Saccharomyces cerevisiae S288C: one gene and its partner. The protein of the gene in region 1 binds, or shares a complex with, the protein of each later gene. Each region holds a gene or a part of one and is shown in the gene's direction. Other genes may lie near its edges.

The links.
Region 2: the proteins of TOM71 (region 1) and HSP82 are in contact, whole or in part, in a crystal structure (PDB 3FP2), measured with the Saccharomyces cerevisiae proteins. Residues at the interface, in NP_011985.1 of Saccharomyces cerevisiae: Lys131 (codon at 2,112), Asn135 (codon at 2,124), Phe138 (codon at 2,133), Tyr150 (codon at 2,169), Val162 (codon at 2,205), Asn166 (codon at 2,217), Ala169 (codon at 2,226), His194 (codon at 2,301), Lys196 (codon at 2,307), Leu199 (codon at 2,316), Arg200 (codon at 2,319); in NP_015084.1 of Saccharomyces cerevisiae: Met705 (codon at 3,810), Glu706 (codon at 3,813), Glu707 (codon at 3,816), Val708 (codon at 3,819), Asp709 (codon at 3,822).

What each region holds. Positions count from the first base shown.
Region 1 is NC_001140.6:340,628-348,486, forward strand, and holds TOM71 (protein channel TOM71), read left to right. Parts: upstream 1-1,721; coding exon 1,722-3,641; downstream 3,642-7,859. Other genes in the region: ubiquitin-conjugating protein DMA1, read right to left, coding at 1-732; COX23 (Cox23p), read left to right, coding at 1,038-1,493; ORC6 (origin recognition complex subunit 6), read right to left, coding at 3,694-5,001; histone methyltransferase SET1, read left to right, coding at 5,416-7,859.
Region 2 is NC_001148.4:95,996-100,322, reverse strand, and holds HSP82 (Hsp90 family chaperone HSP82), read left to right. Parts: upstream 1-1,697; coding exon 1,698-3,827; downstream 3,828-4,327. Other genes in the region: YAR1 (Yar1p), read right to left, coding at 237-839; GTPase-activating protein CIN2, read left to right, coding at 4,065-4,089, 4,170-4,327. UniProt on the Saccharomyces cerevisiae protein: Molecular chaperone that promotes the maturation, structural maintenance and proper regulation of specific target proteins involved in cell cycle control and signal transduction. Undergoes a functional cycle that is linked to its ATPase activity.

The sequences.
Region 1 (7,859 bases):
CCCACTGGAAGACTTGACATCTTTCAAAAACCAGTTTCCTTGGTCATCAACTTTGAAACACCCATGGGTCCTGGATATCACTTTTGATTTGAACACTACGGGATGATACTGATCTGGAATTTTGGAAATTGCCTCTCTTACTCTTTCGGTGTATCTTCCGATGATAATTTGCGAGCCTGCGCCCGCAGTCCTGATAATGGGGTCAAAGAAAAGACCCTGGTTAGCCACAGACGTGGATGAAGTATCTATAAACGGGGTTAGCCTAATGCTGAAAAGCCCGTGCTTGTCCATTCTGCGTTTCAAAGTAGATTGGTCTATCCGTTCCGGTAGCGAGGTATTTGGTGGGAGATGTATATCAAGTGAAAACTCCGTCTGATTGACTTGGTTTGGAGGATATATGAAATGGCGGATACTCTTTGTAGTGTTCACCGCGGGGGCTGTATTCGTCTCCACAGTGGCAGCAGCAGCAGCAGTAGCACCAACATTGCCGTTTGCGCTACCGTTATTTGCAACGACTAAAGAAGTAGCCGTACGCGAGGGCAAAATACCTAAACCATTGCTAACGCTATTATTATTGCTGTTATTGTTAGGCGTATCGTTAATGGTGAGAGAGATGGATATCGGTAGTCTGATGGGATTGTTGAACTTGGTGTGATCGTGAGAGGTAGCGATGCCAGAAGCAGCAGGTGGCGTCTGGTTTGGGGGAGATGAGGGAACAGTATTAGTAGACATCCAGGAATAACCACTATACAGAACGTATGTGCACAGGAAATCGACACTGTAAGAAGAAAAGCTCACGGCACAAGAGTCAGAAACAGGGCAGTGAACAAAGAACGAGAAGTACGGTTTACAGTTGAGCCGTACACCGAGTTCCTCTTTGAATAATATCGAACCTATACACTAATGCACTAATGTGTTTCTGTTCACACCCAGAATTCTAAGGCTCCTGCTGATCCCAATGCTAAGGTTTATCAATTTTCTCATTCTCTTTGTGGGCCGTAAACAGTGATATTCTCTCACGAGAGCGCTTAAAGAGAATGGAGAAGCCCAGCCCCACCAGGCGGCAAACTAGTAGTCTCTCCACTATCTCCAACGGTATGACCATGACCAACGATAATAGGGATACCACAAATACCAACAGTGGCTCTACAAGCAGCAACAATTCACAACCATCTTCGTCTTCCACGCCACCAGCGGCCAGTGGACCCGTAACGGACAGAACCAAAGTCAACTATGTACCAAAGAGCGACGATCCGTCGTCATTTCAATACTACCCAGACGACCCGGAGAACCCGGTCAATAAGTATAAATTCGCGTTAAAGGCTGACAGTCAGTACTATGATCCTTGTGAGGAGTCCTCCAAGCTCAGTTTTCAGTGCCTCGAGCGCAACGATTACGACCGATCCAAGTGCCAAGAATATTTTGACGCATACCGCGAATGCAAGAAACAATGGCTGACAGCCAGGAGGAAAAACAGACAGCAGTGGGAATGAGGCAGCCTTTTCTTCTTGTTTGTTCAGCTGTGATCTGTTTTCTATATAGATCGCCACTACGCGACGTAGTGTTCCGACAGGCAGCCACAGCACACTCTAGTGCAATGTGAAAAACTAATTCGCAATGGTATGTAAATAAGCAAGCTAAATTGGATTTTCAAAGTGCGAATAAAGAATTTTTTGTATATATCTCTACATACTTGTATATACCGAACATAAGAAGCTCTTATGGCCGAAAACTCCCTCCTGAGGTTTATCACCAAGAACAAAGTGGCCATCCTAGCAACGGTCTCTGCGGGGACTGCTGCTGTGGGTGCTTATGTTTACTACCAGCAAATTAAGCAGCAGCAACAGCAGCAATTGAAGGGTACAAAAGACAACCGACGTCAAAGTGAGGCCTTTGCTGGTCAAAATGAAGACGAGGCGGACTTAAAGGACGACGGCAGCGTCGTAAGTGGAAGTAATAAGAGGAAGAAGAAGAAGAATAAACGCAAGAGGAACAATAAGGCAAAATCGGGAGAAGGGTTTGACTATCCCTCCTTGCCCAATGGCGAGCCTGATATTGCCCAATTGAAAGGCCTATCACCCTCCCAGAGACAAGCGTATGCCGTGCAACTGAAGAACAGAGGTAACCACTTCTTCACTGCTAAGAATTTTAATGAGGCCATCAAATACTACCAGTATGCCATTGAGCTGGACCCGAATGAACCAGTGTTCTATTCCAACATATCTGCTTGTTACATTTCTACGGGCGACTTAGAGAAGGTTATAGAGTTCACTACAAAGGCACTTGAGATAAAACCTGACCATTCTAAAGCCTTGCTGAGACGTGCATCTGCCAACGAGTCACTGGGCAACTTCACTGATGCTATGTTTGATCTATCTGTTTTGTCATTGAATGGTGACTTTGATGGAGCCTCCATTGAACCTATGCTGGAAAGAAATTTAAATAAGCAAGCAATGAAAGTACTAAATGAAAACCTATCGAAGGATGAAGGCAGAGGCTCGCAGGTTTTGCCGTCTAACACATCTCTGGCGTCATTTTTTGGGATTTTTGACTCTCACTTAGAAGTTTCTAGTGTGAACACCAGTTCAAACTACGATACTGCATACGCTCTATTGTCAGATGCTTTGCAAAGACTATATTCTGCAACAGATGAAGGTTACTTAGTAGCAAACGATCTTTTAACAAAGTCCACTGACATGTACCACTCTCTACTTTCTGCAAATACAGTGGACGATCCTTTAAGAGAGAATGCTGCCTTGGCATTGTGCTACACGGGTATTTTCCATTTCTTAAAAAATAACCTGTTAGATGCCCAAGTTCTTTTACAAGAATCTATAAACCTGCATCCAACACCAAATTCGTACATATTTTTGGCATTGACCTTGGCCGATAAAGAAAACTCTCAAGAATTTTTCAAATTTTTCCAAAAAGCTGTTGATCTAAACCCTGAGTATCCGCCAACCTATTACCACCGTGGGCAGATGTATTTTATTCTACAAGATTATAAAAATGCCAAGGAAGATTTCCAAAAGGCCCAAAGCTTGAACCCTGAAAATGTTTATCCCTACATTCAATTAGCCTGTTTGTTGTACAAGCAAGGTAAATTTACCGAATCTGAAGCTTTTTTCAATGAAACAAAGTTGAAGTTTCCTACCTTACCTGAGGTGCCCACCTTTTTCGCTGAAATCTTGACAGATAGGGGCGATTTTGATACTGCAATTAAACAATATGATATTGCTAAAAGGTTGGAAGAAGTGCAAGAAAAAATACATGTGGGTATAGGACCCTTGATTGGGAAAGCAACTATATTAGCTAGACAATCCTCTCAAGATCCAACCCAGTTGGATGAAGAGAAATTCAACGCAGCCATTAAGCTGCTGACAAAAGCCTGTGAATTAGATCCACGATCTGAACAAGCGAAGATCGGGTTAGCACAACTAAAATTACAAATGGAAAAAATTGACGAGGCCATAGAATTGTTTGAAGATTCTGCAATTTTAGCAAGAACTATGGATGAAAAACTTCAAGCTACTACCTTCGCGGAAGCTGCAAAGATACAAAAGCGTTTGAGGGCTGATCCAATCATAAGTGCAAAGATGGAGCTAACATTAGCTCGTTATAGGGCTAAAGGCATGCTTTAGAAGATATGTCAGGTATTGGTCAAATATATACTTTTAGTTAATACTGGATATGTTATAAAGGTTCTGTTAATGCCAAATCCATTTCAATTCTTTTCTTCCAAATATTGTACTGGTCGTCTGTGACCAAAATATTGGTGGTTTGTAACATCGATCCCAGTTTCCTAAATATAATTTCATCGTATCTGATGCCATCAAAATCATCATACCTAATTTGCAAATCTCTGAACCATTTTTCACCGATAATTAATTCCTTCACTAATTTTACACATTCAATAACATCATCCACTTTTGACGTCAACATCAAGCTGCACATCTTACTGACTATAAAATGGTCAATTCTTGGATCCTTGCGTCTTCTTTCATTAAATACAATGAATGTACAATTTAATACTAACCCACACACTAATTGCCATGGGCAAACCAATCTTGACGCGTTTATGTTGTACTCATCCACAATTTTATATGCTACTTCTCTTGGTAATTCAAAATCGTTGCAAAGCCGTATTATTTCTTCAGTAGTCATTTTGCAATACTTCTTTACTAACAAAGAATTTGGTATTCTGCCCCTTTTCCTCAGGGCTTTTGCCGTCTTCAATTCTGATTGCGGTTTTCCAACTGCCTTATTTTGTTTCGTTCTCCCGCTTCTGCTTTCTTGCACACCTAATGGCTCTTCCTCACTTGTAGGGTCACTTTCATGGTTTTCATACTCATCAGAATCTACATTTCTGGTTCCAGTAATGCTCTTATTACTATGGCTTTTTAAAGACAAACCGTCGTTTCCTGGTTCCTCTTCATCCTCATCCTCATCCTCTTCAAATGCTAACTTTCTCCTAGTAATAGACGGCGATTCATTGGTTTGCATGGGGGGTAGTTCTGGTATTACGAACGAATCATTATTTTGGCTTTTCCTAACTTTAGTTGGTGTACCAAACAGTTGATTCCTCAACTCTTTCGGATCAGAAGAAGTAAACCTCCCACCGTTCTTTACTGGACTGCGTTTGTTCTTTTTGGGGCTCGGTGTCCAAGCAAATTGTTTCATAGGTGAAGAATTAGATAAACTTTGTCTGAAAAGGTTCATTAAATGCTTGGCTTTTTTCGGCTCCAAGGGAATACTGTCTATATAATAGCAAAGGTCAGGCATGTGTTTTTCATTCATTTTCTGTGACGCTATGTATGCACATATGTGACATCTAGCAACCTCTTCATCTTGTTTCAGCATTACCTTGTTCAGTGAAGTATTATATAAAATCGATGTCGCATTAGTCAACTTCTTCAAATATCCGCTCGACCAGTCCGGTTTTTCTTGTGGATCTAGTCGAAGTACTTCTGCGACACAATGTTGGACTTGTTGCATGGACATGACTGGTTTTAATGGTATTGTTTTGGCCAATTTTATTTACTGATATTGTACACTTTTTTCTGCAATTTTAGTGTGAGATTTTTTTTTTCAATGCCGATTTCTTACTAACGTAAACAACGGCAAAGAACAAAGAAATACACAGTTTTATCACAAAGAGTTGATTTTTGCTGAAGAGAAGCGTGAGGAGTGTATTCGAAAGCCTTGCATATTCTGGACACTTGCGATTCTAGCTCTTTACGGACGCCCGCATTCTTTTTTCATACTCTGTTTCGTGCTGCTTTCACACAATATTTTTCAAAAGTTTCTTCTCATCGTTTTTCTGTTAGCAACCCTCAACTTACGAGAGAGTTGCGACTAGCATAGGTAACATTCCTTATTTGTTGAATCTTTATAAGAGGTCTCTGCGTTTAGAGAATGTCAAATTACTATAGAAGAGCACACGCGTCTTCTGGTTCATACAGACAACCCCAGGAACAGCCTCAATATTCGCGTTCTGGTCACTATCAGTATTCAAACGGCCATTCTCACCAACAATATTCTAGTCAATATAATCAACGTCGACGTTATAACCATAATGATGGTACAAGGCGACGCTATAATGACGATCGCCCACATAGTTCAAACAATGCAAGTACGCGACAGTACTATGCTACTAACAACAGCCAAAGCGGCCCATATGTAAATAAGAAATCTGACATCAGTAGTCGGAGGGGCATGTCTCAATCACGGTATTCAAATAGCAATGTTCACAATACATTAGCGTCTTCGAGTGGATCTCTTCCCACAGAATCTGCTCTGCTTTTGCAACAAAGACCACCTTCAGTTTTGAGATACAACACAGATAATTTGAAGTCTAAGTTTCATTATTTTGATCCCATAAAAGGCGAGTTCTTCAATAAGGATAAGATGCTTTCGTGGAAGGCTACAGATAAAGAATTTTCTGAAACAGGTTATTACGTAGTCAAAGAGTTACAAGATGGACAGTTTAAGTTCAAAATAAAACACAGACATCCGGAGATAAAAGCATCCGACCCACGTAATGAAAACGGTATCATGACTAGCGGAAAAGTGGCAACCCACAGAAAATGCAGGAACTCACTAATTCTATTGCCTCGCATATCTTATGACAGGTACTCCTTAGGGCCTCCCCCTTCATGTGAAATAGTTGTCTATCCAGCGCAAGATTCAACAACAACCAATATCCAAGACATATCAATAAAAAACTATTTTAAAAAGTATGGAGAAATTTCTCATTTTGAAGCATTTAATGATCCTAATAGCGCTTTACCTTTGCATGTTTATCTTATAAAGTATGCCAGTTCTGATGGAAAAATTAATGATGCAGCAAAAGCAGCCTTTAGTGCCGTTAGAAAGCACGAATCTTCGGGTTGCTTTATCATGGGCTTCAAGTTCGAAGTGATTTTAAACAAGCATTCCATTTTGAATAATATCATTTCTAAATTTGTTGAAATAAATGTCAAAAAGCTACAGAAGTTACAAGAGAACCTGAAGAAGGCTAAAGAGAAAGAAGCAGAAAACGAAAAAGCAAAGGAATTACAGGGCAAAGATATTACCTTGCCCAAGGAACCTAAGGTAGACACATTATCTCATTCGTCCGGAAGTGAAAAAAGAATTCCATATGATCTCTTGGGGGTAGTTAATAACAGACCTGTTTTACATGTCTCCAAAATATTTGTTGCCAAACATAGGTTCTGCGTTGAGGACTTTAAATACAAGTTAAGGGGATACAGATGTGCGAAATTTATTGATCATCCAACTGGTATCTATATTATTTTTAATGACATTGCCCATGCGCAAACATGTTCGAATGCAGAGTCAGGAAATTTAACAATAATGTCTCGGAGCAGAAGAATTCCTATTCTAATAAAGTTTCATCTCATTCTCCCTAGGTTCCAAAACAGAACTAGATTCAATAAATCTAGCTCATCTTCAAATTCTACAAATGTACCTATAAAATACGAGTCCAAAGAGGAGTTCATTGAAGCTACAGCAAAACAAATATTAAAAGATTTGGAAAAGACTTTACATGTTGATATTAAGAAGAGATTGATTGGTCCTACGGTATTTGATGCTTTGGACCATGCAAATTTTCCTGAATTGTTAGCTAAAAGAGAACTAAAGGAGAAAGAGAAGAGACAACAGATTGCATCTAAAATTGCTGAAGATGAATTGAAACGTAAAGAAGAAGCCAAAAGAGATTTTGATTTGTTTGGTTTATATGGTGGCTATGCAAAATCTAATAAAAGAAATTTAAAAAGGCATAATTCACTCGCGTTGGATCATACTTCTTTAAAGAGGAAAAAGCTATCCAATGGTATCAAACCAATGGCACATTTACTGAACGAAGAAACCGATTCCAAAGAAACTACCCCATTGAACGATGAAGGGATCACTCGCGTATCAAAAGAACATGATGAAGAAGACGAAAATATGACATCTTCATCTTCTGAAGAAGAGGAAGAAGAAGCTCCAGATAAGAAATTCAAGAGTGAGTCTGAGCCAACCACCCCCGAATCTGATCACCTTCATGGTATTAAGCCGTTAGTACCCGATCAAAATGGGTCGTCTGACGTACTGGATGCTTCTTCGATGTATAAACCTACTGCTACCGAAATTCCCGAACCTGTATATCCACCTGAGGAATATGACTTGAAATATAGTCAGACTTTATCTTCTATGGATTTGCAGAATGCTATCAAAGATGAGGAAGATATGCTAATTTTAAAGCAGTTATTGAGCACATATACTCCTACCGTCACACCAGAAACAAGCGCAGCTCTGGAATATAAAATTTGGCAATCTCGCCGAAAAGTTCTTGAAGAAGAGAAGGCTTCCGA
Region 2 (4,327 bases), on another chromosome or scaffold:
GCTCTGCGGGTAATGAAATGGAAAGTTCAATGCATTCAAAATATACGCTTTTGAAGCGGTTACTTAGTTTGTGAGAGAAATATACATTATTACTGTAACTCTTTTCTAAATTTTTTGTATTTATTAATGCATTTCTGCTGGTTCCATCCTTTTATCTTCTCCGGTACCAAGAAATAAAATATCATGCTCAATGGATATTACGGCTTTTATTCCACGAAGAAAACAAGCTCTTTACTTTAGTCTTTATTTATATTCAGTTTCTCGGTTTCTTCTCTTAAAGCCTCGGTGGCTTCCTTGGTGACTTGTTCAATTTCTGTACCCTTTGTGATTTGGACCGAATTCTTGCCCTCAGTTTGTGTGTCTTCTTCATCATCTTCAGGTTCGACATCATACTTCTTCAAAAAGTATGTTTCCACTTCTTCCTTCCCGCTGTTCTCGGCCTCAAAGATAGCATCGTGGCCGAATTTGTTTCTAATAAAGGGGTCTGCCTCATATTCATCACACAGTAGCTTGACCACGTCTAATTTGCCATTCAACGACGCCCAATGTAAAGCCGTGTTGCCTGTTTTGTTCACCTCATTAACAAAAGCTTTCAAGTCTTCGGCACTATTTGCGCGAGAAACCGTCTCCAGTATATACCGAACGGTCTCTATATGACCGTTGGCAGCAGCCATATGTAAAGCCGTAGAATCAGATTCACTTTCCTTACAAGTCGAAAGTAACTCGGGACTGACTAAAGTTGTAAATATATCTTTCAGAGAATCCAAATCGCCAGCTCTTGCATCGAGTATTATGGTGTCTTGGTCCTCTTGATCTAACGGTTCACTGTGTAGGCCCATATCTGCGTATATGTAGATTTTTTTTTTCTATTTGGAAATAATTACTTTCTTTGAGATAGAGCGCGAACAATTTTGCCTATCGTATTACAATTCGTTTTTGTTTTACACAAATGATAATTAACTCATCGATTTTTTCTCAGATTCTCTTTTTCTTTTATTACTTTTCCTTCTTATTCTATGAAAATTTCATATCATCGTTCATGGTGATATTACCACGGTGACATCAAATGGAATTGTCCTATTTTTCTTTTCCTGTAATTAGTGGCGCGGGACTTTTTATTCCTCGTGGCAAAGAATGGCTACTAAGAGGAGAATAAGAGATGGTTAGAAGTATTTGGAAGCTTGATGACAGAATATTTTAAAATATAACTTAGCTTGCGTGTGCGTATTTGTATTCTTCGTGGTTACGATATGAACCAACGTGCAAGCGTGTGATATATCACATTCCGGAGGGTGTCACCCCCCCTCTCTCAACACAGTAATCCATAAACCAGTTTTACATACACGTAAAAAAGAACAGGAATAAAGCTTAATCGGATTATTAACTCATACGCTTGTCACATATTGTTCGAACAATTCTGGTTCTTTCGAGTTTCGCAGAACTTTTTGAATTTTTCTTTTTTTTCTAGAACGCCGTGGAAGAAAAACACGCGCATGGTTTTATGAGCGGTTAATTCTCATCTTAATACCAACCAGGTCCTTCCGCCACCCCCTAAAACATATAAATATGCAGCTTATCCCTTCAATTCTTAACATCTGTGACCTCCTCATTTCTTCCCGCTGTATTAGAGTTCAAGAAATCATACCTGATAGAAAATAGAGTCCTATAAACAAAAGCACAAACAAACACGCAAAGATATGGCTAGTGAAACTTTTGAATTTCAAGCTGAAATTACTCAGTTGATGAGTTTGATCATCAACACCGTCTATTCTAACAAGGAAATTTTCTTGAGAGAACTGATATCTAATGCCTCGGATGCGTTGGATAAAATTAGATACAAATCTTTGTCTGATCCAAAGCAATTGGAAACAGAACCAGATCTCTTTATTAGAATCACTCCAAAGCCAGAGCAAAAAGTTTTGGAAATCAGAGATTCTGGTATTGGTATGACCAAGGCTGAATTGATTAATAACTTGGGTACCATTGCCAAGTCTGGTACCAAAGCCTTCATGGAAGCTCTATCTGCTGGTGCCGATGTATCCATGATTGGTCAATTCGGTGTTGGTTTTTACTCTTTATTCTTAGTTGCCGACAGAGTTCAGGTTATTTCAAAGAGCAACGACGACGAACAATACATCTGGGAATCCAACGCTGGTGGTTCTTTCACTGTTACTCTAGACGAAGTTAATGAAAGAATTGGTAGGGGTACCATCTTGAGGTTATTCTTGAAAGATGACCAATTGGAGTACTTGGAAGAAAAGAGAATAAAGGAAGTTATCAAGAGACATTCTGAGTTCGTGGCCTACCCAATCCAATTAGTCGTCACCAAGGAAGTTGAAAAGGAAGTTCCAATTCCAGAAGAAGAAAAGAAAGACGAGGAAAAGAAGGATGAGGAAAAGAAGGATGAAGACGACAAGAAACCAAAATTGGAAGAAGTCGATGAAGAAGAGGAAAAGAAGCCAAAGACGAAAAAAGTTAAAGAAGAAGTTCAAGAGATAGAAGAACTAAACAAGACTAAGCCTTTGTGGACTAGAAACCCATCTGATATCACTCAAGAAGAATACAATGCTTTCTATAAGTCTATTTCAAACGACTGGGAAGACCCATTGTACGTTAAGCATTTCTCCGTTGAAGGTCAATTGGAATTTAGAGCTATCTTATTCATTCCAAAGAGAGCACCATTCGACTTGTTTGAGAGTAAAAAGAAGAAGAATAATATCAAGTTGTACGTTCGTCGTGTTTTCATCACTGATGAAGCTGAAGACTTGATTCCAGAGTGGTTATCTTTCGTCAAGGGTGTTGTTGACTCTGAGGATTTACCATTGAATTTGTCCAGAGAAATGTTACAACAAAATAAGATCATGAAGGTTATTAGAAAGAACATTGTCAAAAAGTTGATTGAAGCCTTCAACGAAATTGCTGAAGACTCTGAACAATTTGAAAAGTTCTACTCGGCTTTCTCCAAAAATATCAAGTTGGGTGTACATGAAGATACCCAAAACAGGGCTGCTTTGGCTAAGTTGTTACGTTACAACTCTACCAAGTCCGTAGATGAGTTGACTTCCTTAACTGATTACGTTACCAGAATGCCAGAACACCAAAAGAACATCTACTACATCACTGGTGAATCTCTAAAGGCTGTCGAAAAGTCTCCATTTTTGGATGCCTTGAAGGCTAAAAACTTCGAGGTTTTGTTCTTGACCGACCCAATTGATGAATACGCCTTCACTCAATTGAAGGAATTCGAAGGTAAAACTTTGGTTGACATTACTAAAGATTTCGAATTGGAAGAAACTGACGAAGAAAAAGCTGAAAGAGAGAAGGAGATCAAAGAATATGAACCATTGACCAAGGCCTTGAAAGAAATTTTGGGTGACCAAGTGGAGAAAGTTGTTGTTTCTTACAAATTGTTGGATGCCCCAGCTGCTATCAGAACTGGTCAATTTGGTTGGTCTGCTAACATGGAAAGAATCATGAAGGCTCAAGCCTTGAGAGACTCTTCCATGTCCTCCTACATGTCTTCCAAGAAGACTTTCGAAATTTCTCCAAAATCTCCAATTATCAAGGAATTGAAAAAGAGAGTTGACGAAGGTGGTGCTCAAGACAAGACTGTCAAGGACTTGACTAAGTTATTATATGAAACTGCTTTGTTGACTTCCGGCTTCAGTTTGGACGAACCAACTTCCTTTGCATCAAGAATTAACAGATTGATCTCTTTGGGTTTGAACATTGATGAGGATGAAGAAACAGAGACTGCTCCAGAAGCATCCACCGCAGCTCCGGTTGAAGAGGTTCCAGCTGACACCGAAATGGAAGAGGTAGATTAGGTAGAACATCATGGCCTTGAATAGGTTATAAACAAAACATAATATAACGTATAGGTATTCGAATGAATAAATAAGTATGTAAATAGGGCATCTGCATGGAAATAACTGGGTAAAACATTACAATGTATTTTTTTAGAGTTTTCACTATTCCGACGCGTCTAGTGTGTCATACAAAACGCGAAGAATCTGAAATCGTGAAATATACTTAAGAATATAACTGAAATAGCTTAAGCATAAATGGACTTTACTGCGAAGATAAAGGGTATGTTGAAACTCATCTGCTTTCATTATGCGTCCAACTAATTAACATTGCATATTTTCGTATACTATTTTTTTGTGTAGAGCTCGAACGAGAACTCTCAGAGACGAGTGACTATAAGACCTTGCAGAAGAAGACCATAAGTCTTCGAAGTGAGCTGAATACTCTGTCACATTCTTTGACATCTTATGAAAAAGAACACTTCTCCAATGATATAGAAAATGTATTAAAATCTATTAAT